Linked DNA regions of Tamandua tetradactyla. The protein of the gene in region 1 purifies or fractionates together with the protein of each later gene. This does not show direct contact. Links are inferred from orthologs where the notes say so. Each region holds a gene or a part of one and is shown in the gene's direction. Other genes may lie near its edges.

The links.
Region 2: the proteins of ENG (region 1) and ACVRL1 purify together in Homo sapiens (affinity purification with western blotting; 3 studies listed by BioGRID and IntAct, with this or other methods). This does not show direct contact. The link is inferred for Tamandua tetradactyla from reciprocal best matches to the Homo sapiens genes ENG and ACVRL1.

The regions. Positions count from the first base shown.
Region 1 is NC_135328.1:50,694,041-50,706,096, reverse strand, and holds the start of ENG (endoglin), read left to right. Parts: upstream 1-5,655; 5' UTR 5,656-6,014; coding exon 6,015-6,081; intron 6,082-12,056. UniProt on the Homo sapiens protein: Vascular endothelium glycoprotein that plays an important role in the regulation of angiogenesis. Required for normal structure and integrity of adult vasculature. Regulates the migration of vascular endothelial cells.
Region 2 is NC_135333.1:113,295,789-113,307,786, forward strand, and holds the start of ACVRL1 (activin receptor type-1-like), read left to right. Parts: upstream 1-5,739; 5' UTR 5,740-5,800; coding exon 5,801-5,837; intron 5,838-5,888; exon of another isoform or gene 5,889-9,750; intron 9,751-10,451; coding exon 10,452-10,520; intron 10,521-11,042; coding exon 11,043-11,294; intron 11,295-11,478; coding exon 11,479-11,690; intron 11,691-11,934; coding exon 11,935-11,998. UniProt on the Homo sapiens protein: Type I receptor for TGF-beta family ligands BMP9/GDF2 and BMP10 and important regulator of normal blood vessel development. On ligand binding, forms a receptor complex consisting of two type II and two type I transmembrane serine/threonine kinases.

The DNA.
Region 1 (12,056 bases):
GTCATAAATTCTCTCAGTGATTTTTTGTCTGAAAATATTTTAATTTTCCTTTCATTTTTGGAGAACATTTTTGCTGGATATAGAATTCTTGGTTGGAAGTTTTTCTCTTTTAGTATCTCAAATATATCATATCACTGTCTTCTCACCTCCATGCTTACTGCTGAGATTTCTATGCACAGTCTTATTGGGTTTCCCTTGTATATGATGGATTGCTTTTCTCTTGCTGCTTTCAAGAGTCTCTCTTTCTCTTTGACCTCTGGCATTCTGATTAGTAAGTGTCTTGGAGTATGTCTATTTGGATGTTCTGTTTGGGGTACACTGTACTTCTTGGATCTGTAATTTTAAATCTTTCATAAGAGTTGGGACATTTTCAGTGATAATTTCCTCTATTAGTTTTTCTCCTCCTTTTCCCTTCTCTTCTTCTTCTGGGACACCCACAACATGTATATTCATGTGCATCGTATTGTCCTTCAATTCCCTGAGTCCCTGCTCATATTTTTCTGTTTTTTTCCATTTATTTTCTTTTGCTTATCAGATTTCAGATGTCCTGCCTTCCAGTTCACTGATCCTATCTTCTGTCTCTTGAAATCTAACATTGTAGGTTTCCATTGTTTTTTTCATCTCTTCTACTGTGCCTTTCATTCCTATAAATTGTGATTTGTTTTTTCAGACTTTTGATTTCTTCTTTTTGTTCATTCCTTGCCTTCTTTATATCCTCCCTCGTTCATTGATTTGATTTTTGACAAGGTTTTCCATGTCTGTGTGAACATTCTGAATTCATTGTTTCAACTCCTGTATCTCATTTGAATCGTTGGTTTGTTTTTTGACTGGGCCATAACTTCTATTTTTCTAGTATGATTCTTTATTTTTTGCTGGTGTCTATACATTTAATTTCCTTAGTTAGTTTATTCTGGAGGTCATTTTCACTTTTTTTACCTAGGATTTTCTTGCTGGATGACTTTGTTGTCTATCTGTTCTTTGACATTCAGTTCAGCTTATTCCAGACCTCTAGCTTAGGTTTGGTTTAACAGATCAGAATTTTTCAGTTCTTATTTTCTTGTTTCTTGCCCTGCCTATATGGTGCCTTTTTTTCCCTTTCCTTAGGAGGGTCTACATAGGTATTTTAGACCCCAGTCAGATTTTCCCAGACCAAACTGGCTTCCACTCAGAAGGAAAGAGTCACCTGCGTCATTTTTCTGAGGGTGAGACCCAGCAGGTTGAAAGACTTTCTTATGAAGCCTCTGAACTCTGTGTTTTTCCTATCTTGCCCAGTATGTGACACATGTCTGACTGCAGGTCCCACCAGGATAAGGTGATGCAGTACCTTTAACTTCAGCAGACTCTCCCTTATGGGGGCATGGTGCAGACAGAGGAGAGGTTGTAGGCTGGCTTTAATCACTTCACTTTTCCAGGCCCTGGGGTCTGAATTCCTTGAGGGAAGGATTCCACCTGAGCTGGGCCCCACCCCTCTCCTGGGGAAGGCACAGGCTCCAGACAAGCTCTCAGACAAGCTTAATTCTGCCCATGCCTGGGGCAGTTGGAGCCTGAGAAGTCCTGTAGCTGTATCCAAAGAGCAGTCAAGCCATAGAAAACACAGACACAAAAAGGGAAAGAAAGAAAAAAAAAATCCTTTTCAGAGTAGGATCCCCATTCCTTGGGTTTGCCAATCAAGAGCTTAAGTTGTTATGTTGCTTTGTGTATCTCCAGGTCCTATCTGTCCCCTCTTTTCCTTCAGGGTCGAGACCCTTCCAAATATTTTGTGCTGCCTGATCAAAAAAACCTTTTTTTCCATCAGCCCTGCCCCCTCTGCGCTGGAGCAAAAACCAGCAACCTCAGCTTTTACTCGAGGTTCAGCTGAGCTGAGTTTACTACTTTTTAGTAGTAAGAATTTGTTCATTAATTCCACAGTTGGAGCTTGGCTGTGCTCAGCCCCTCTGGGAAGCTGCCTGTGGGGGATGGGCGCCGGCCTCTGCGGCTTGGGGGACTCCCGGTTCTGGGGGGCTCGCAGCCAGTCCAGCTGGTCCAGACTGGGGTATGCTGTGTGTCCAGTCACTGACATGACCCCAGCAGTTGTTCTGTACTTTTCCTGGGTTATTTACTAGTGGCTCTGGAGCACGAACTAAATCCCAAACCTCACTAAGCTGTCTTGGCTCCCGTATGCAAATATCTTGATTGATTTACTTTGGGAGTTGATTCCCTTCGGTAGTCTAAGGCCTTGTGTTTGTGGGGTGGATGTGGACTCGGATGCAAGGTATGGGGTGGGGTACAACAGTGATACGTTGCAGCCCAGGTAAAGGCGCAGGTTGGGGATGTTACGCTGGTGCTTGAGAACGTGGGCGCCCAGGGGCCAGGGAGGACATAGCTGTGCGTGTGTACAGGTCTGGGGGACGTAACCCTGGTGGGTGCTGGTCTAGGGCGCAGGGCCCTTTGTGTGCATGCGCAGAGCAAGGCATCAGGACCGTGTCCTGCCTTCATGGACTGGGGCAGGTGTGACCTGGCTGCGCAGGTCGGTGCTTTCTCAGAGCTGAGGGCTGTGCACATGCGCGGTTCTAGGAGTGCCACAAACGGATGCTTCCAGAGCTGAGGGGCGTGACTGGTGGCCAAGCGGGTCTAGGAGCATTGTCAGCTGATGCGCAGATCTGAAGGTATGCGCCCGCAGCCTTATTGCACTGTCAACACCCTGCAGGGAGGAGAGATCAGGAGGTAGTGCTCAGAAGGTGTGCAGGAAAGGTAGGCTGGGCTGCACTTGGGGTGGGGGTATGGGGTGGGTGCGCACTCTGGGGGCTGATGAGCGGGGGGCTCTTGGAGCGCGGGGAGTGGGGGCGAGTGATGGTGTTCAGGTGCGTGGGGTGTGGGGTGAGTCGCGGGTCGCGGGTCGCGGGGCTGCACTGATGAGAGTAGCGCATTCAGGGCCCGCGGCTTGGCTTACTTTCTAGTAGTCCCCGTTTCCCCATCCGTGCCCAACTGTGGGCTCCATGCTTCTGCGTTAGGCTCCAGTTTTCTGGTTCTCAATTCCTCCGCCTCTGCAACCAGGGTCGCCCTATGTGGTGCAAAAGGCTCTCCCAGATCAGCTGCGCTCTTGAATAGCCGTCTCAGTGGCCCTCCCATCCCTTCTCTAACTTTTCCTTGGAGCAGACCTGACTCAATCTACCCTATTCAGCCATCTCCCCTGAACCAGAGAGCCTAGGTGTTTTTTAAGGTTAACAGGAATGATATTGGTTGGGCGTAATTATAGGTAGGTTCAGCTTCTCTGCTACAGAAATAAGTTTCATTAAGAGCAAGACTCAAGATCAAAGGCTTGGCCTGTTAACTTGTCTCCCTAGAGTTTTCTACAAGTTCTTCCTCATATCCCCCTGAAGTGGCTCCTGCTTTCCGGAGAATCCAGTGGGTCCTGTTTGTAACAAGGGTGGGGTGGGTTGTTCAGCATGAGGGTGGGGGTGGAAGGGAGGTTTTGGAACAGCCTCCCGTGGCGTCCCTATCTCCACCCCTGGACACCCCCAGCACCCCACCCTGCGATGCCCACAGTCACCAGGACATCACTGCTCCACTCCAAGTTCAACCCAGGTGGTGGTGGCAGTGAAGGACCTGGGGTCATCACCTGCCAGCTGTGGATCTGAGGGGCCACTTATACCTCTGGGAGCCTGGGGTTCCTCCTCTGCAAAATGGGGATGTGAGGGCCACAGGGAGGCTGTGAGGACTCAGAGCTGATAAGGTGACTGCCTAGGGCGGGCCTGGCGTGGAAGGAGCGTCCAGCCCTTGGGTGCTGGGTTTACTGCACCTGGGGCACAGATGCTGGAACTGGGGCCCGGGGGACCCTATAGCTACCCACCTCCCCACTGAAGCCACCCTGTGCCTCATGGTGCCCATGTCCTCATCTCCGCAGCTGCAGGAAAAGACAGTGTAATAACCATTCTGTGGGTGGCCCCCTCTGCCCCCCTCATAGCCCTCCTTGGCCTGCCTTGACTCCATGCCCATGCCTCATGGCAGGAACTGGCCAGGCAGCCATGGGGTTGGGTGAGCTGACCCTTTCCCCAAACCCCATCCAAAGAGACCCGCCCACCCTTCCCACTCCTATATCAGCTCCTGCAAAGACAAACATATGACCTACTCTGGTCACCGGACCAGGCCAGAGCGTCGGAGGCATCTAGGGCCAGGCCTCGGCCTCTTATTCCAGACTAACACCTCCCTCCAGAGGCACGCAGGAATCCAATTTTCTCCCCACCCCCTGGGTCACGATGTCCCCACTGTGATCCAGAACAGATGCAGGGAGAATGGCTTCATCTCCTGCTGGGTACTGCCAGCACATGCCAAGATTTGTCTTCTCAAAGTCAAGCCCCACTGGTTTCCTCCTCCAGAACCTTCCATGATTTCCCATGGCTTCAGGGTAAATTCCTGCCATTCAAGACCCCCTCGAACAGGGCTGGAGTCTGCCTCTCCAGGCTTACTGCCCTCTCCTGACCCTGTCCCATGGTGGGCCAAGCACATCCCACCTCCATGCCTTTGCTCAGGCTGGTCCCCCTGCCCGACCCATCCACCTCCTCCCTGTCTTCTACACACCCCAGACTCACCTAGTCTTTCAAAAGCCAGGTCTAAATGCCACCTTGCCCAGGAAGCTCGGGCTTCTTTCTCTGAGCTCCCCTGGGCCTAAGCCTAGGTTCTGCCCATGACTAGTATCATGTTGGACGCATAGTAGGTGCTTTCTGTTTGCAGCATGAACGGCCACCCCACCTGCAGCCCCAGCCCCAGCCCAGTGCCAGGCTGCTCTCCCAAGTTCCAGGATTGTCTCCCAGGGCCAGGGAACGCTGATGGGGGCTTCTGCGTGTCGGGTTCAGGGCTCGGTGCGGTGCTGCCTCGACCCGGGAACTCTCACCGCAGCCTGGAGAGGAGGGCACTGTTGTGCTCTCACTTTACAAACAGGGTGACAGACGGTTTAGGCGACTTGGCCAAGATCTCACAGCTCAGATCAAGCAGTGCAGGGTGTTGAACCCAGGGCCATCTGAATTCAGAAATGCCATTGAAGGTCTGTCCCATCCTCCTTTGTTTGGGGTTGTCCTTTGTCCCTGGAGGATTTTCCACCCATGGAGGGATCAGACACAAAATGTGTGGCCCTGGGCAGACCTCCTGCCCTCTCTGGGCTCAGAAACCCCAGATCTAGGTGAATTGCTGGGCCGACTTGGGAGTGTTCCTTCCTTACTCTGGGCCTCAGTTTCCCTGCCTGCAAAGCAGAGGGACAGAAGCCCCATGTTATGGTTACCTCAGCCAGCTTTGGACCCTGAGGGGCACAGGTTTGAATCCCAGCTCTATCCCCTTTCTGGTCAACAATCTCACCTCATTGGGCCTCTGTTTTCTTATCTGCGAAATGGGAATACCAGGTTCCCAGGCTGTGAGTCCCACAGGAACCATCTCAGCCAGGGCTGCCTGGGAAGGGCCCCTTGGTGGGCTGTTTGGGTGATTGTTCGCATCTGGTCTCCAGGGGCTGCCAGATGCACCCCCACTGGCCAGACCTGGAGAGGGTGGGGAGGCAAGCTTGGAGCCTGGGCCCTCCCACCCCCGCTGACCCCCCACCCAGGCCCCCCACCCAGCGACAAAGCCCGTGGCACTTCCTCTAACCGTCTGGCAGGCGGCCTGGCCCGGCCCCTTCTCTAAGGAAGCGCATTTCCTGCCTCCCCGGGCCGGGCTGGATGAGCCGGGAGCTCCCCTCAGCCGACAGTCAGACCTCAGGCTCCATCCGTGTCCACGGGACCACCGCGCTCGCTGCTGCCACAGGAGTCCAGTGTCCCCTCCCTGCCCACTTCTTGGCCAGCTGTGGACCCAGGGCCCGGGCCTGCGCCCTCCTGCCCACTTCTCCTGACCCCTCGGCTGTCCCCGCAGAAGGCTGGAGCAGGGACGCTGTCGCTCCGGCCGCCTGCTCCCCTCGGGTCCCTGCGTGAGCCCACGCCGGCCCCCGCACCCACCCACAGCCCTGCCCCTGGACACCGGATAAGGCCCAGCGCACAGACCTCCGAGCGGACAGCATGGACCGTGACGCCCGTCTCCTGGTCGTTGCCCTGTTGCTGGCCGTCTGCAGCCTCAACCCCACAGGTAGGTGTCCAGGGACCTGGGGTGGGGGGACTCAGGCCCGGGGTGGGTCAGTGCCTGGCAGATCTTGAACCCGGTCAGTGCCCTGACCTCAGGCCTGGTGGAGCCTGTCTGGTGTCTTTCCTGGGGGGAGGTGGGGGACCTGGACATCCAGAGGGGGAGGCCACAGGGTGACCGACCATCCCGGCTGCTGGGTTTGGAGGACGCAGGGCTTTCAGAGCTAAAGTGTCTCAGGCAAACCGGGATGAGCTGGTCACTTTAGCTCTGGCCTGCTGGCGTCCCCATCACCCAGCTGCGCGGCCCTGAGGAGCGTGTGGGAAGGAGCTCGGTGCGTGGCACCCTGGGCCTTAGTTTTTGGAGCTTGGGCTCCGGAGTCAGGCTAGGGCTCAAACCTCCACTTCCTTAGCTACCCGGTGTGATCTGGGGGTGCTGCCTTCGTGTCGCTGAGCCCGTTTCCCCAACCTCTGAGTGGGGATGGTGACAGGACTCCCCCCTTGGGGCTGCTGTGGGAGGGGACCTGGCCGGGAGGTGAGGCGAGCCCTCAGGCCTGCGGCTCGTTTCTGTGTTGTTTTATGGAGAAGCGACTCCCAGAACCCTTTGGAACAGCTCGCAAGGCCCTCCCGCCTCTCTGCCCCTCCTCTCCTGGTTAGGGGACCTGCCAGAGCTCCTCAGCCTGGAGGCTTCTCCGGGGCTCCTGGCCTCTTCGGGCTTCTGAAACTGACCAGAGGAGGGGTCCTGAGGAGGTGGGGTGCCAGCCCCATCTCACCTGCCGTGCCTCCGCTGTGTCCTGCCCCTCACCCTCCTAGAGCCACAAGACAGGACAGCCCAGGGCCACCCCTTCAGGGTCTGGAGGAGGAAGAGGGGAAGGAGGAAGCCCTGAGGGGGGGGGGGCAGTAGGGGGAGACGAGAAGGGGAACAGCAGCAGCCACGGCCACCCCCTCCCCATCTCACCCCACCCCTCAGCATTTAAAATTTACCAAACCTTGGTCTCTCCAACTCTCACCACTGCCCCATAATACATGGGGAACTAAGTTTTAGAGATGCAAGTGGCTTAGGGGGGATTAGACCCCAGGCTTGTGCTCCCCAGAACATTTGCTTCTAACCATGTATGATGCGGCAACCCCTCAAAATGGCTCACAGCCATCCTGCAAGCCGGCTGCCATCACCGCCCCCATTTTACAGGAAAGGTAAACTCAGACCTGCCTGATTTCACATGGTTCCGTCAGACCCCTATCTGGGTTCTGACGTGCCTGTAGGTCCGTCTCGCCTTTCTCTCCCATCCTCTCACCCATTTCTAGCATGGTAACGTCCTATTCCACTTGCTCATTAGAGAAAGACCCATGCAGACATTTTGGGTCTGGTTTTACAGAATCAAGGTGGAGGTATGCTGGTGAACAATTAACAACTGGTGACTGGGGGAGCAGGCAAAGGAGGGTGGGAATCTGATTTGGGATGTCTGTCAATTTCCATGGTGTCAATGCTCCCACATGGCTGATGTCAAGTTACCAACTCACTAGCCCAGCCAGGAATTGACGCACAGCAGCCCACATCATGCGGTATTTCCACCACATTGATACAGTAGATAAAGATAACCTCAAGAGCAGAAATAATAGTAAAATGGAGTAAATTATTTAGGAGGTGATGAGTTTCTATGTTTTTAATATAATTTATATAATTGTAAGTTTATATGAGCTACTTCGAAATAATGGCACTGTCTGACAATTAGTTCAGAGAACACCTGGAAATTTTTCAGCCCACTCTTAGGAGCAGGCATGAGCCAGTTCTGGCACACCACGGTTCAAGGGTAACCATCCAGCCCAGCTCACGTACGGCCTGGGAAACCGAGGCCCACGCAGGGCAGATGAGGGCTCCAGCACGTTGCAGAGCACAGGCCCTTACAGGCTGGAACCCAGCTCTTTCCACGCCACGGGTGGGGATGGGGTGACCCAGTGTCCCCATTCATGCCCACAGGGGTCCGGAAACAGGTCCAAAAATGGGTCCAGATTTCTGGGAGCCCAACTCAGCAGCAACTCTCAAAACTTTTAACTATGCATGATTCTTGGTCCCAGCAACTTATCCTCCGGGGTCAGCCCTATGGAGATATTTTCCCGGCTCTCTAAAGATGTGTGACCCAAAGACACCTGTAACCAAAACCCAACTAGTAGAAGCCACCTAATGTATATCAGCAGGACACCTGTTAAATAAATTATTACGGAGAGGTATACTAAGCAGCAGTCGCCAAGGAAAAAGACGGGTCTCTGTGTATACTGCCGTGGACAGATGACTGCAGCACACTGTTAGATCCCCAATATTTCTATCATAATAAAATAGTAAAAATGTACAATATGTACAGAGGAAATTCTGGAAGGCTGTGTACCCAACACTCCTCTTTTCCAACATAAAGGTTTCTCTCTGGGACGTTCACCATCTAAGTCAAATTTTTCTGTTATGTTGGGATTTTTTTTAAGAGCAAGCATATGGAGATATTTAAAAAACACAAAAAACAATTTAACCACTTAGTTGCCTCAGCTTACCCCTCAAAGAAGGTAGATAAGAGAGGAAAACATTATCTCCCAAACCCCTTTGTAATATAGATACTGTTACCATGTTGGTGGATTGCCTTCTAGCTTTTGTCTAGCTTTTTCAGGTAATTTAAATCCAGATGGATCAAATTTGGGTGTCTTACATAACCTTTCTCCTGTCCCAGGAGTTTCCATATTGTCAGATGGACTCCATAATCATCCCGTTGTGGTTCTAGAATATTCTCTCCTTCAAATGAGCCATCGTTTACTTAATGAATCCCCTATTGCTGCATATTTAGTTCATTTCCCCTTGAGTACTGGTTATAAATACCACCTCAACACACGTTTTTGGCACATGCACCTTTTTCCATATTTTGTATAATGGTCTTTGGGTAGAGTCCCAGAAGAAGGGGTGCGGGGGCTTGTGGCCCATGTTAGGTGGCTGGGATTGAAGAATGTTTCCTCTGTGCGGGTGATCGTTTGCTGGAGGATGGAGCAGGGGTGTGGTCTGGGACTTCCGCGACTCATCGGAGAGGAGGACGAGTGACACAGACCAGAGACTGGATAGATCCATCATTTAGAGGCTGCATTTGGGGACAGCTACCCATTTGCCAGGAGGAAAACAAGGTTGGAGAAGGAGCTGGGTGAGCCAGGAGAGGGTGGGTCTCTGCAGGGCCATGGCTTGAAAGCTTCTCCCTTGCCTTAGGCAGGCGGATGGTAACACTAAGGCCCAGAGAGAGAAAGCCTTGCTCAGGGTCGCAGGTGGGTCAGTGCTGGGCCCTCTGAGGACAGCCTGGTCCATTGACTCAAGGACCTGGAGTGAGCTGGAATGTTGAGGGGCAAGAGGGAGGGATCCATCTCTCCAGTGTCCTCAGTACATCAGGCACTGTGCTGGCTCTTTGCCTTTATTCCCAGTTTATCGATGAGGAAATTGAGGCTTGGGACAAGTGGTAGGCTCAGATTCGAACCCAGTCCCAACTTCTTTCCCCTTCTCCAAGCTGGGGCCAAGACTTCAGGCAGCCTGGGTTCCAGAGACTTGGAGAGCTGGTTGCCCTGGCTCTGAGATCCCCCCACCCAGGTCCGGTTCGGGCTCTGCAGGGTCAGCCCTAGAGGCTGAAGAGGAGATTCAGGAGGAGCCGAGCTAGCTTTCACACCTGTGTGTGTGTGGGGGGGGGGTAGGGCTGAGGAGGGGAAAGGGGTTAAGGGGCCAAAGTAACAGGTGACGTTTATTTAATGCTTACTGTGTGCCAGACTCTGCTCTAGGTACGTTATGTGTACTCATTAAAGCCCTGTGGGGTAGAGCATTCCTGTTATTCCCATGTCACAGATTAGGAGACTGGGGCTCAGTGGGTGAAGGAATTGGCCCAAGTGGCACAGCCCAGAAGCAGGCATCTGGGACTCGAGCTCTGGACCTGTTTACAGCCCTGTACTGCCACAGAGAGATGATAGGGCCCTCCCTGTGGCCCCATAGTCTTTTTCCAGGAAGTTGGCCCCTTCTCTTTCCCCTACCGTGACCTTCCCACTTGGAGCACAACTCATGAGACCCTGCCCCTACCCTCAGTAGCCCCGTCAATGCCTTGCCCTCTCTTCCTACTTCCACCCCCAGGCAGAATCTCAGAACTTCAGAATCCAGTGGAGTGTGGAGCATCTCCTGTCCATTGTTTCCTGCCACCCCAGTATCCACATGGAAACTGAGGCTCAGAATGGTGGAGGGATTTGACACAGGTCATCTGGCAAATGAGAGCCAGGCCTGGCAAGCCAATTCCACAAATGTCTGCTCGTGTTTGTCTGTTCCGTGCCCTGGGCTGGGCTCTGGGGACTCAAAATGACTTAGACTTCTTCCTGTTCTGGAAAAGCTCCCTGTCTGCTGGGGGAGGCAGACACACAGACAAATAAAAATGACACACTTAGGCATGTGTGATTCTAGGTGGACGTCCAGGCACCAGTGTCCCTGAGAGGGGAGAAACTGGTTCTAGTGGAGAGATTTCTAGAATAGGGTTTTGAAGGACGAATAGAGGTTGGCCAAATGGTCAAATAAAGGAAGACCATTCCTCTGGGAAAGGGAATGGCAGTGGTAGGGAGCAATGTGTGTATTTGGGGTGAGGGTGGGGGAAACCCAGCATGTCTCCATTGACTGGGCATAATCATGACAATAGGTGTCAGTTCCTGAGCAAAGCCCATGACTCAGGAGCTAGCTTAGCATGGTGCCTGTGTTATCCCGCTGATATTCTCACCAATTCGATGAGGAAGGTTTTATGGTCATCGTCACCTCCATTTTGCAGTTAATGACATTAAGGCATGTAATGGAAGGTGAGAGATGGCAGAATCAGAGTCTGAGCCTTTGGCATCTGTCAGAACCCCAAGCCTGCACTCTTTCAACTCCACTCTAGGTTGCAGTGTATGGCCTTGACCCTGAGGGCACTGGGGAGCCATGAGAGAGGCCAGAGCAGAGGATGGCTGAGGTCTCTCTGATGGCCAGGTCTCAGGGAGAGCTTGCACGGGAAGGAGCAAAGCGAGACTGAGTGGCTGAAGAGGAGGGGACAGGCTTTCCAGCAGAAAAGACCTCTGCCAGAAAGAATCTGCTTTGGTATTCTGAAAGAATAATCACGGGTGTGGTGTACGGAGCACTGAACGCGGTGACCTCCTCAGACTGACACACCGTCTGTGAAGTGGGTTCTGCACTCGGGAGCTGGAGCATCTGGGTTCAAATTCATACCCTGTCTCTAAGTAGCTAGATAAACTCAGACAAATTATTTAACCCGTCTGATCCTCGATCCTAACTTCCCTGATGCTTGACTCTTGTGTGTAAAGTGGGTATAACAATAGTAGCCGCCTCTTGAGGTGCTCTTAGGGCCATATGAGTTACCTCACATAAAGCCTTGTCGCTGTATCTGGCTCCCAGTAAGCATGAGGGAGGCTTTTGCTGTGATAATTGTTGTTTTGCAAATGGGGAAACTGAGGCTTGGAGCGGTTAGGCTACTGCCCAAGGTAACCAATTTCAAAGAGGCAGAGCTGGGATTGATTCAGTCATCTGGTTCCAGAGCTGCTTCTCCCGACCACTGCCGTCCGTGGCCCCCCAAGAGCTGGGGTGGTCATTTGGAAAGACCTGGAGGTGGCCATGTGCTCAGTGGGCCCGCGGGTGGGGAAGGAGGATGAAGGGGCCAGTGGCGGGGAGGTGGTTCCAGGGTCCTTCACTTGGGCGCTGGACACCCAGGCCCCCAGCGGCGCCTCCTCTGACCTGGGTGCCGGGAGGTCTCTGTGTCTCCCTTGGTGCCAGGGGATTGTTTTCAGCTCTGTCTGGACCCGCCTCCGGCTCCGGGAGACGGGCCTGGGCGTCACACTCCCTCCTGTCTCCCCATTCTCGTCTGCGGGGTGGGGGCGGCTGGGATTCGAAAAGGCCCCAAAATAAATGAACCTCTTATCTGATCTCCCAGCCTGGCCTGTTATCTGATCCTT
Region 2 (11,998 bases), on another chromosome or scaffold:
CCTTCTTGTCCAAACACCAAGCCCTTTCCTTTGGAAACAGTCACCTCAGCCCCTCAGACTCTCTCCCCAGGCCACTGAAGATGCCAGGCCCCCACCTCCTTCCTGCCAGTGCCACCTTCTCTCAGCCGAGCCAACTCAGGCTTCCTTGTCTTCAGAGCGAGCAAAAGGCTCTATGCCTCTAGGAATCCCGTCCAATCCAGCATGCTCAACAGGGTCCTCAAGGCATCGTTGTCGTCGGGAGTTTCCCCTGAACACCCCCCAGTAACAAGGTCGGTCACTCCCTTGGTTGTCCAACACGGCTTCTCTTCTCACGTCAGAATTGCAGCTCTAAATTCTTGATATTCTCACAAGCAGTGTGGACAACCAAAGCAATAGGCTAAGCCCCCAATCTTGGGGTTTGTTCATATGAAACTTATTCCCACAAAGGATAGGCCAAGCCTACTTAAAATTAGGCCTAAGAGTCACCCCCAGAGAACCTCTTTTGTTGCTCAGATGTGGCCTCTCTCTCCAGCCAACACAACAAGCAAACTCACGTCCTCCCCCTGTCTACGTGGGACATGACTCCCAGGGGTGTGGACCTTTCTGGCAACGTGGGACAGAAATCCCAAAACGAGCTGGGACTCAGCATCAAGGGATTGAGAAAACCTTCTCGACCAAAAGGGGGAAGAGTGAAATGAGACCAAATAAAGTGACAAAGGCTGAGAGATTCCAAACAGAGTCGAGAGATTATCTTGGAGGTTATTCTTACACATTAAATAGATATATCACCTTTTTAGTTACTGTGTAACAGAGAGGCTGGAGGGAAGTGGCTGAAACTGTAGAGCTGTGTTCCAGTAGCCATGTTTCTTGAAGATGATTGTATAATGATACAGCTTTCGCAATGTGACTGTGTGATTGTGAAAACCTTTTATCTACTTTATGGACAGATAAGTAAAATATATGGATTAAAAATAAATAAATAATAGGGGGAACAAATGTTAAAATAGATTTAGTAGATTGAAATGCTAGTGATCAATGAAAGGGAAGGGTAAGGGGTATGGTATGTATGAATTTTTTCCTGTTTTCTTTTCATTTCTTTTCCTGCTGTCTTTTTATTTATTTTTCTGAATTTATGCAAATGTTCCAAGAAATGATCACGATGATGAATATACAACTATGTGATGATATTGTGAATTACTGATTATATATATAGAATGGAATGATCATATGGTAAGAATGTTTGTGTTGGTATGCTGGTATGTTTAATAAATAAAATAAATTTTAAAAAATTGCAGCTCTATGGAAGGGAGGGGGTGCAGCCTGCCTTAATTAGTGAAAAGTCAAGTGATACAGTCAAATCCTGAAAGAACTGGAACTTAAGGTTTGGATATATTATTTAAAGTTATAAAATAAAGTTATGATGATCAATAATTCAGAGGGAAAGAGGGGAGGGACAATCTAAATGACCTAAAGTCTGAAGTTTTTTAATAATTCCTGAGACTTTAAAATCTAGAGATAGCAGTGTAAACGTACCATACTTGAAGTAAATGCCAGAGAAACTAATAGCAAAAACTTTGAGAGGCAGTTGCCCCCCAGCCAGGGTCTGGGGGTGGCTACAGTGACTTATGATCAATTCTTTGCAGAATTTTATGTATTTTACCGAGTGCATAGTTAGGGTTTCTTTGATTTTCTCAAAACGATTGCCTCATTCTTTAGCATCTTCTCCAGTAGCCAAACTTTCACCTTTGTAATAACCCTCGTGTAGCTATTAGTAGAACAGACCATACTTATTACTCATCTTTGAACAGATAAGGTCAAGGTCACAGGGCCCAGCCCCAGGTCTCCTGACTCCTGGATGTTTTTACTCCTACCTCACAACTCCACCTCCCTTCCTCAAAATAGCTGGTAAACGACTTCCACACATACTTTGCTTTAAGTGTAAGAATGCGGTAGAGGAGGAATTATCTACCCTTTCTTACAGGTATGGAAACTGAGGCTCCTACACAGATGTTTCAACTCCAAGCTTGAGCTCTTTCCACCAGCTTTCCTCTACTTTCAGGGACCAGGCCAGGGTTTGATGGATGAGTGGGAGACTCATTCCATTCTACATATAGAATCAATAATTCACAAGCAGGTGGGGAGGGGCAATCTAAAGGTGGCAGGAGGAGGCAGCAGTGGTGGGGCAGCTTCTCAACTGGGCGTGGGCTCCAGGCCAACACCCCACCCCTGCAGGATCACGCGGGCACCGTCTAATCACAAGCCTCTCCTGCCCTGACATGTCTTCCCTTCCTTAAGAGTTTTCATCCTAAGATGAGTCATCCTGAGGGCTTGGTGGTGGCCGAGGGGTAGACAAACCCATCTGGGGGAGATCCCAGAGGAGCTGGAGAGGAAGAGGAAGATGACTTGGCAGCTCAATGTCTGGGCAGCTGGCCCGTCTACCAGTCTCTCCCTGGGCAGAGCCCTGCTCCCCCACCCTCACCCCGTAACTGTCCTCAAATCTTGGCTCCAGCCAGACCACCTCTGTTACTGAGTTTTAGTGACAGGGCCTGGAACTAGTAGTTTCCTGAGATTGGAAAAGGACCTTTAGGATTATCTGGTTTAAACCCCTCAGTGAACAGAGGAGGGAACTGAGGCCCAGGGAGGATTTGGGCCTGGAGCCCAGCCAGGCCCCTTGATCCCTGGCTCATCACTTTTTTTCACAATCCTATGATGCCTGAGCTGGAGGAGACTTAGAAAGGTCGTTTCTTCTCCCCTTTCCTCCAGGCAAAACTCCAATTCCAGCCAGCCTGCAAAACAGAGTCTCTCTTAGGCTGCGTAGATGACTTAAAGTCATTTATAGGTACCTGCACTACTTCTCCCTGAAGGGGGACCCACAATCCCTGGGGTACCTGTTTCGCTGTTTCATGGTATGTCATGCCTCTCACCTTTAGTTGTCTGATCTAAACCTCCCACTCTGAAATTTTAGTGGAGCGAAGCCCAGCTCACCCCTTCTAACTTTTCCTACATTTTTTTTTGCCCTGCTAAATCTGATGCAGAACTGGCTACATAATTTGTGGGATCCAGTGCACTCGGCCCTTTGTTTTAAAATGTTTAAGAATACTGTTAAGAATTTGAAGGTGGCAGCAGCGCAGCATTAAACTGCATAGGCCACACGCCCACGAAGCTGTCCCTGCCCTGGCGTCCAGCTGTGTACTCGATATCTCAGGGTCTCCACTCCGCTCCCTTCACGCCGCACTCCACGGCACCGCCTTCTACAACGAGACCCTCCATGTGGTCTCAGCGCACATACCCACCCCAAGATCTTCAGGCCTCTGTTTCACGCACGCTGGGAAATCCTTCTGAATATCTAAATCTAAATCTCGGTCCTGTGGGTCTGTTTCCTCTTGTTCTGTCCTCACTGAATATGGGGAACAGCTGGTCCCTTTGCGTAATTAATTCATGTAGACTCAGACTTGGACACAGTCTGTAATTCCTTTTCCCTTTCCTCACTGGGCTGAGTCTCCAACGCTTTCTCCAACTCTGTGTCCCTCCTGCCGAGCCTCCCCCACGTCCTGTGTGTGCTTTGGAAGGCGTGGGGTGCACGAAAAGCCCCAAAGAGCATCAGTTGGGGTTCGCAGGCTCAGCGTGCTGGGGGGTGGGGGATGGAGGGTGGAGGAGAGCCTGGCCTGGATTAACTGTCGCTGTTCTCCACCCCCTCAGGTCCTCTCTTCCTCCTGCCAAACCTTATCTACTTTTATCGGCTTTACAAACTCTTCCCAGATAAATAGTCCCTATCCCAGCTGGCTCTCCCAGGCGACTCTCAGCATGTCCATCTCAGTGTCTCTGTCCTCAGTGTATCTCAGCTAAATGCTTCCCTGGGGGGAAGCCCCCATTCCCCTTCCCAGGACAGAGACCCATGGGCTGGGAGAGGAAGAGGTTTATCAGAAGCCAAGGCAGGGCAGGAGGGAGAAGGGGTGTGAAGGATGAACACGCGGCCAGACTCCCAGTTATCCAGCTAATAGAGAGCCCAAGTGGCCGCTATAATCGGACAGAGCAGATACTGTAATCCCATAGTACTTCCTATTGGCTGCAGGACACAGCTCTGTCCTGACACTGAAATTTGGGTGTGCCGGGGTTCTGGGAATTCACAAGGCACACAACAAGTTGTGAAGCAGCTGCAGGGTGGGAGGGGGTGGGTTCCAGCCGAGGAAATGAGGTCAGTCCACAATTGACACCTAGTCTGAGCACTTAGCCCTCTCTCCCCAGCTTCGAATCCTGCCAAGGTGTCCCATCTTTGAATCATCATCTGCAAGCAAGACACCTTAGAGGTCTACGCCTGCTTCTGGTACCCGAGCCTTCTCACTTGGCTCTCCAGCCACCCCCTTTCCAACCATTAATTAACAAATACTTTTACTGAGGGCCTACCCTGGGTCAGCACCCCCAGCCAACATTTTTGCTATGAAGTGAGATAAGCATCATTTTCCTCACAAGCATGGGACAAGCACGGGACAAGGCTAGTGTTGTTTGTTACGCCCATCCAGCACCTGGACACCGGAGGGTTGGAGAGGTGTCACTCATCTAAGGTTGTGCAAAGATTCTTGGGCAGGGAGGCTGACCTCAGAGTCTTTGTGGATAACCAGGATGCTAGGGACAAACCTGAGTCCTGCTCACAGTGGCTGAAGGACAGCTGGACAACCACAGCAGCGCTGGGAGCCTGGGCAGGGTCACCAGGAGGAAGAGTTTCTTTCTCTTGGGGTAAGGAGCCATTCTGCTCTCCTCCCTGAGTCTGTCTCCGCAGTGTCCCCAGGGAGGCTCGGGTCCCCACCTCTAAAGCTCCTATGGATGGTCGGTGACCTGCCTCCCAGCCGGCAGTCCAAGGTCCCAGCGCCTCCCTCCATTCTGGCTGCCCGTGGTGGTGAAGGGAGTCCCAGGCCGGAGCTGCGGCGCAGAGGGGCTCAGACGGCCACGCCACTGACCCAGAGCCCCCCATCTGGGTCTGGGTACCCCTGCGCTGGGCAGAGGAGCGGCTGCGGAAGGAGGGGGTGAAAAGGCCCGAAGGAGGCGCAGCGGCTGAAGGATCCGGACCGAAAGCGGGGTCCCCGAGGGCGGGATCAAAGTTCTTTTGGACCTGGTCAGCCCCAAACTCTGCCGGCGCCGCCCTGAGCCTCCTGGGCAGACCGCCCTACCGCCCTCCTCCGCGTGTCCTTCCCTCCATGCCCCGCTGTGCGACCCCCGGGTTCCAGGCCCCCGCCCCGCCGGCTCGGAGCGGGAGGGGGCGCCCTCACACCCCACTCCCCTACTTCGGTTGCCAGAGGGTGTCTCCCGTCTCAGCTCCGGCTCCACGGTGCTGGGCCGGGACCCCACGGGACCCCCGCGGCCGGAGTCCAAGACCCGCCCCCTCGGGGAGGCGGATGTGGGAGGCACGCGGAGGGGATGCGGGCCAGGGAACCCCGGCTGGGTGGGGGCGACTGGCGGGGCGGGGCAGGGGTGGGCAGCCGCCTCGGGGTCTCGGGAAGCGCTCGGGGGCGGGGGTGGGGGAAGGTCCCGGCCCTGCAGCCCCCACGGGGGGCGAGCGGGCGGCCCGTCAGCAAGCTGGGCAATAGGAAACGGTTTATTAGGAGGGAGTGGTGGAGCCGGGCCAGGCAGGAAGACGCTGGAATAAGAAACATTTTTTGCTCCAGCCTCCTTCCCAGTCCCAGGAGGCCGCCGCGCCAGCCGCGCCGAGCGAGCCCCTCCCCGGCCTCAGCCCCGTCCGGGGCCCCGCCCGGACCCCGACCCGCGGTCCAGCTCTTGCAGTGCGACGGCGGCCGCCGCCGGGGAGGGAGGCGTCCCCGCCCGCCGCATGTCCGCGCCGCGCCGTCCGCAGGGCAGGCCCAGAGGTGAGTCGAGGTCTTTAGGGCTGGGATCTGATGGCGAGATGGACGACCCCCGTCCAGAAGGGCCCCTTCCTTTGTGTGGATTCCGAGACCCCCTCAGAGAGGTCGCGGTAGGGTCAGTCCCACCGCACTGCCTCCTCGCGCTCGGTGCACCTCGGCCCATCGCCCCACCTGACACCGGGAGGGACCTAGAAGGGACCTGGATTGCTGATCTGAAAACCCGAACTTGCTGACAGGCTTCTGCTGAGTGACCTGGGGCCGGTCGCTTAACTTCTCTGTTCTTGTATCCTCACTCATAAAATGGGCAGAATTCCTGTCTTGCTTCACTCAGAGAGAAGGATTCACTCGGGGGTAATGGGTGTGCTTTTCTTTAAGCTTCTGCAACTAATGATTATCTTTTATTATCTTTGTTATCTAAACTCCAGGATCCAGGGCCCACCTCTGAGAACCTTAAGCATGTATAATCCAGATTCCCATCAACCCAGCTTTTAATTCTGTAAAATCCAGCTCAAAAATCCAGGCTGGTCTGATGTGAAGCGGACAACCTTTCTTGCCCTTATTCTGTGCTGTGTCCCTCCAGGCCTTTGGGCTGACCTGGGAGTGAGTGTCTGCTTACAACACTGGTGAAACCACCTTTTCCAGATCAGCTTCTGCAGCCCTTGCTTAAGAAATCTGACATTTACTCCAGCCCACAAACCTCACCCCTAACTCCAGCCTTCCTTCAGGATACTGGGCAGAGGTGGACAGGCTGGGACCCCAGTGCTAATGAGCGTGTTCCAGGGATAGCTGCCTACCCCAGGGCAGAGTGGACAGTGGAGCTCACCCTCTATTTTGTGGGCAGCTTCTGGCCCAGTCAGGAATTCTTCTCTCTGATCCTTTGCTTTCCCATCTCTGGGAGGACAGGTCCTCGTCCCTGTCCTCCCATCCCACTGGGTTCTTAAAAATAGCTGCCATTTATTGTCACTACTATGTAGCTGCCTAGATATATTTTTCTCACGTAATCCTGGCAACAACCTGGCAGGAGAGGGGTCCTTATGCCCATCTTACAGAAGAGAAAACCGACCCAGACCTAAATAACTTATCCAAAGCACTGAGGATGGTGTGTTAGGGTTGGATTTTTAAAAAACATTTAAGTGCTTACCATGTGCCACTTTGTATTTGCTAAATAATGTTACATACATTATACCTATGAAGTCAACACTTTTATTATTGCCATTTTACACATGGAGGAAACCTAGCCTCAGAAAGGTTAAGAAACTTGCCTCGAATCACACAGAGGCAGGCTGTAAACCTAGGTCTACATGATCCTGAGCCCGCATTCTGCCTGGAGAACCCCACCATCCAGGCTTGTCAGGCTGCATCACGTTGCAGTGAGGAGCTAGTGGAATGATGGAGGTGAAAGCGCTTTGGGTCTCCAAAAGGGCAACCCAAAATGATCAGCTCAGTCTGGTCCTCTGCTGTTTGGGTGGGAGTTATTAAAAGTGCAGCGTGTGACAGCCTGGTCATGTTTAAGATGGAGCTCCTTCAGCCAGTGACGATCACTGCTGTGTTGAACCGCTGTGGCTGAGGACAGTGGGCTTTATCCATCCCTCAGGTGTGCCGGGGAGAAAAAGATTAGTGATTACCTTCCAGGAACTCTCCTCCCCTGTCTACAGCAAACAGGTATCTGACCAGCAACACTTTGTCTTTGCATCTCAACAAACCTGCGTGAGGTGGGAGAGCTGCAGAGTAGGAAATTTGTCCATGCCCACATACTAATTTTTTCCTTCTTTCAAGTACTCACCTAACACCAAACAATTAGAGGATGGCAATGCACAAGAAATGATTTACTATCAGCAATTTATCAGTCATAGGTAATCACTGTGGGCAGGAAACTTAATGCCCCTGAGCCTCAGTTTCCCCATTGGATTGTTGGGAAGATTAAATGAGATAAACCACTGAAGTTCAGTACCTAGTATATAATCAGTACCCAGAAAAGACAAACTATTATTCTTAAATTATTCATGGTAGTAAGTTCATGTGTGAAATTAACATTTGTGATTTCTGGCCAACAATGGAGATGCTACTGTTAGCAGTAGATCTTTTAGGACATTTTGCTTAGAAGTTGAAGGATACATCAGTCACCAGGAGTCTGTTTGGGTAGAGCCAGATTTCAGGGTGAACCATGCAGGGTCAGCTTTGAGCTTGGACTGATCAGGACCCAGCACCCTCCTGTACTTAACCCTACACTGGGCCCAGTTAAAAATTGGACAGTCACAATTTTACTCCATTATATTCCCAACATTGGACCAGATGTGGGTTCACTGAATGCTGCCAGTTTCTTCCTGCACTGTTCCTGGGCCCAAGGAGGAAGAAAACCCTCACCCCTACATTCCTCCTGCCATGTCCCCAAGTCCCTGCTGCCTCTGGCTTCGATGTTTAACCTTGGCCATTCCTTCTGTCCCCAGCAGATGGGGAGGTCCCTCTTGGGGTCCCCTCCCTCTGGGCTCCACTCCCCCCTGCCCAGCAGGGCCCTGCACAGAGAAACAAAAGCGTTAGTGTTGTGTAGGGCACATGTCTCTTAAGTGTGTTCCCCATACAAACTGATCAGAGTTACTGCGGAGCTTTTTAAAAATGCATATTCCTGATTGGTCCCCTAGAGGGACTGAGTCAGAATCTGGAGTGAATTGAGACCAAAGAATGTACACTTCTAAACAAGAGCTCCTGGTGATTCCAGTACATAATAAAGTAGATGAGAGGACAGGCTGGGGCGTGGAGGGATGCTACATTTTATCCTTATTTTTGCCCCAATTTTTTTCCCACCACATACACTCCCTGCAGCAACTTTTTGTGCAAGCAAAAGCTGTCAAGGATGGCTCCTACCTGTACCCCAGTGGGCAAATTCAGCTCTTTTAGAGCTCCTTCTCCAGCCGCCAACCACACTGCAGAGCCCTCGACAGAGTCCTCACTGCCTGGCAGGAGAGACAAGAGGCTGGAGTTCAAACAGAGGCTGGGGACACAGCTGCAGCAGCCTCGGGCTCTGTTTCCTCCCCAGCCCTGGGCCTCTGGGGCAGAGGAAGCCCAGGCAGGAAGGCCAGAGCTGCTACCAGCCAGAGAGGCCCATGCAGCACCCACCCACCGCCACCTCCAGGCCATCCTCCCTCCAGAGCCTCAGCATCATGGGCCCTCCCTGGGCACCATTCCTAGACTATGGCTTTCCATAGCCCACATGGCCATGTTCCTGGCCCAGCCAACCTCACCATGTCATACCAGAGGACATTTCTCCTCCCTTTTGTTGGTTGTTCCTCCCTAGAGATCCGACCCCCAGACACACACCTGCATACTCGCCACCATTCGGAAAGTCCTTGTTGCTGCCTGATTTAGTCCCTCTAGCTGCAGCCCTAGCCCATGCCTCCTTGTTTTAAACCTTTGAGAAATGAGGAGTGGGGTAGCTTCTGAAGCACTGGTTGTTTTGGGACCTGGGTTGGGGGTTACCATCGACCAGAATTACCACACACACCAGTACTGGGCCCCTCCCCATCAAACTTCTAGAAAAGTTCAACCCCAGCAAGCCATGGAAGGTCAAGTGTTCAGTGTCTAGTGTGTTTCGCTTCCGCTCCCACATCATCAGTCCTACCCCCACCCTTTCCCAGAACAGCAAGGAAGGGGGCCAGGGAATGGCAAAGAGAGGGCATCTCACCCCTCGTGAGTTTGCAGACAGGTTCTTTTATACCCGGCAGGAGTGGCACTCCATGGCTTTGTATGGAGTTACAAACCTGAGGGCTCAGACACACGGCTGCTGCTGGATTGGGAGACGGAGTGGAAAGGACATGGGCTGGGAGTCAGGACACACGGGTCCCCTGGACAAGTCTCCTCCCCTGTCTGGGCTCCATCCCTTCTTCTCTAAAATAAGGAGCAGGACTTTGTAATTCACAAGGTATCCTAGGATTCTGTTGTGGGGGTGTCCCAGCCCAGGTGCCTCCCGCCGACCCTATACCCTATAGTCACCTTGGCCTGCCCTGAGGCTATGTCCTTGCTCCCTGCTTTGCGTGACTCCTGCGTGTCCTATCCAGATCCCAATCTAAACAATCTTGATTCCTGTTCCCGGCTCAGCGGGACCCTGAATGGCAGGAAGTGAAGCCAGGGGCCTGTTTATGTTTGAAGCAGCCAGGGCTGGGGGTGGGGGGGCACACTGGGGAGGGGATGGCTAGGGGTGGAGGCTGGGAGGAGGTGGGCAAGGGGCAGGGTACAGAAGGGTGGGTGTGCTGCGGAAGAGGTCCGTCTTCCACCCCAGCCCGAGCCCTTCTAGCTGTCCGGCCCCGTGGCCTTCCTGGCCTGCCTCCGGTCTGGGCTCAGCAGGAGGGGTGCAGAACGGGGGCTCCCCCAGGCTCTGAGGCACGTAACCATGGCTCGCTACCCTTTACCCTTAGCAGGATGGTTTCCATGGGGAAGTGAACTAGGACTTCCCCTACAGGCCAGGCACAGGGAGTGGAGAGGAGGCGTCCTTGCCCCACCCCCTCAAAAAAACTCCCCGTGATTTCCTCCGGGGGGAGGGACCCAGGCTCAGTGGCTGAAAACGCTTAGGGGGATCACATTTCACAGCTCTTCCTGCACCCCCTCTCTTACTCCTCTTTCCAGGGACCATGGCCTTGGGCCCCCCAAGGAGGAGCCTTCTGATGCTTCTGCTGGTCTTGGGGCTGAGCCAGGGTGAGTATTAGGGGACAAGGGCCTGGATGGAGAAAGGGCTGTCTGGGTTCAGCTCAGCTCCTACTGGGACTGAATTTGAGGAGACAGGAAGAAGGTGGATTTGGGAGCTTGGCTGGAGGGTGGGAAACAGTGAGATTCAGATGAAGCTCTCGGCCCCCAGCGCTCCTTTGCTCTTGATCCAAACCTGCTCTGTCACCCCCCAGCTTGGGAACTTATATCTGGAGGTGCAGAGAATGGGGGTGTTGGCAGGGAGTGCCTGGGAGAACCCACAGGGCAGGGCTGGACAGGGTTATGTGAAACTGGGAGGTCCTAGTGTTAGGGAGAGGTCAGAAGCCTGGCTCTCAGTTTGAGCTGCCTCTGGCATGGGTTGAGGTTCTAGAGTGAAGGATGATGTGAGGATGGAACTAAGGGACCAAGGCCATAAGGGGTTTGAGAGGTGAGAAAGGAGGGAGCAGTGGGAGAGATGGACTCAGTCTGGCAGAGGTGGGCCTAGAGTTGCTGAGCTGCCAGTGTGTCTCCCAGGAGACCCCGTGAAATCCCCCGGGGGCCCGCTGGTGAACTGCACGTGTGAGAACCCACACTGCAGGGGCCCTACCTGCCAGGGGATCTGGTGCACTGTGGTGCTGGTGCGGGAGGAGGGCAGTCCCCTCCAGGAGCATCGGGGCTGCGGGAGCCAGCATGAGGAGCTCTGCAGGGGGCGCCCCACCGACTTCGTCAACCACTACTGCTGCTACAGCTCCCTCTGCAACCAAAACGTGTCCCTGGTGCTGCCCGGTACGTCCAGCTGCCCCGACAGCCCCACCCCGTCCTCTCGGATGCTGCCTTCCTGCCCTGCTTTCCTCGTAGGCTCTGGCTAGGAGGGTGGGGGAGGCAGGGCCCTGGATCTGACTGGCAGCGGGACAAGGTGGTGGCACCTGGCCTGGTGGGGAACTGGATCTCGGTGTCCCCTTTCCCCCAGCTACCCAAGCCCCTCCGGACCAGCCGCAAGTAGATGGTCAGCTGCCTTTGGTCCTGGGGCCTGTACTGGCCTTGCTGGCCCTGGTGGCCCTTGGTGCCCTGGGCCTGTGGCATGTCCGGCGGAGGCAGGAGAAGCAGCGGGGCCTGCACAGTGAGCTGGGCGAGTCGAACCTCATCCTGAAGGCATCTGAGCAGGGGGACAGCATGCTGGGGGTATGGGCCTGGGGGAACCTGGGGCACAGGGCTGAGGAGAGGCAGGCAGGAGCCCTGGAGTCAGAGGGAAGCACAGAGGGAAGCTGGGAAGGGCCCGCTCACAGGCCCCCAGAGATTAGAGTGGGTGCAAGCTGGGTGCATGGGTTGCAGGCAGAGACTCAGCTGTGAGACCCAGATTCAGGGTAGAGAGAGGAACTGGGGCATATGGGAGGGCAGCCTCTCACTGACCTCTTGGTACCCCCAGGAACTGCTGGACAGTGACTGCACCACGGGCAGTGGCTCGGGGCTCCCTTTCCTGGTGCAGAGGA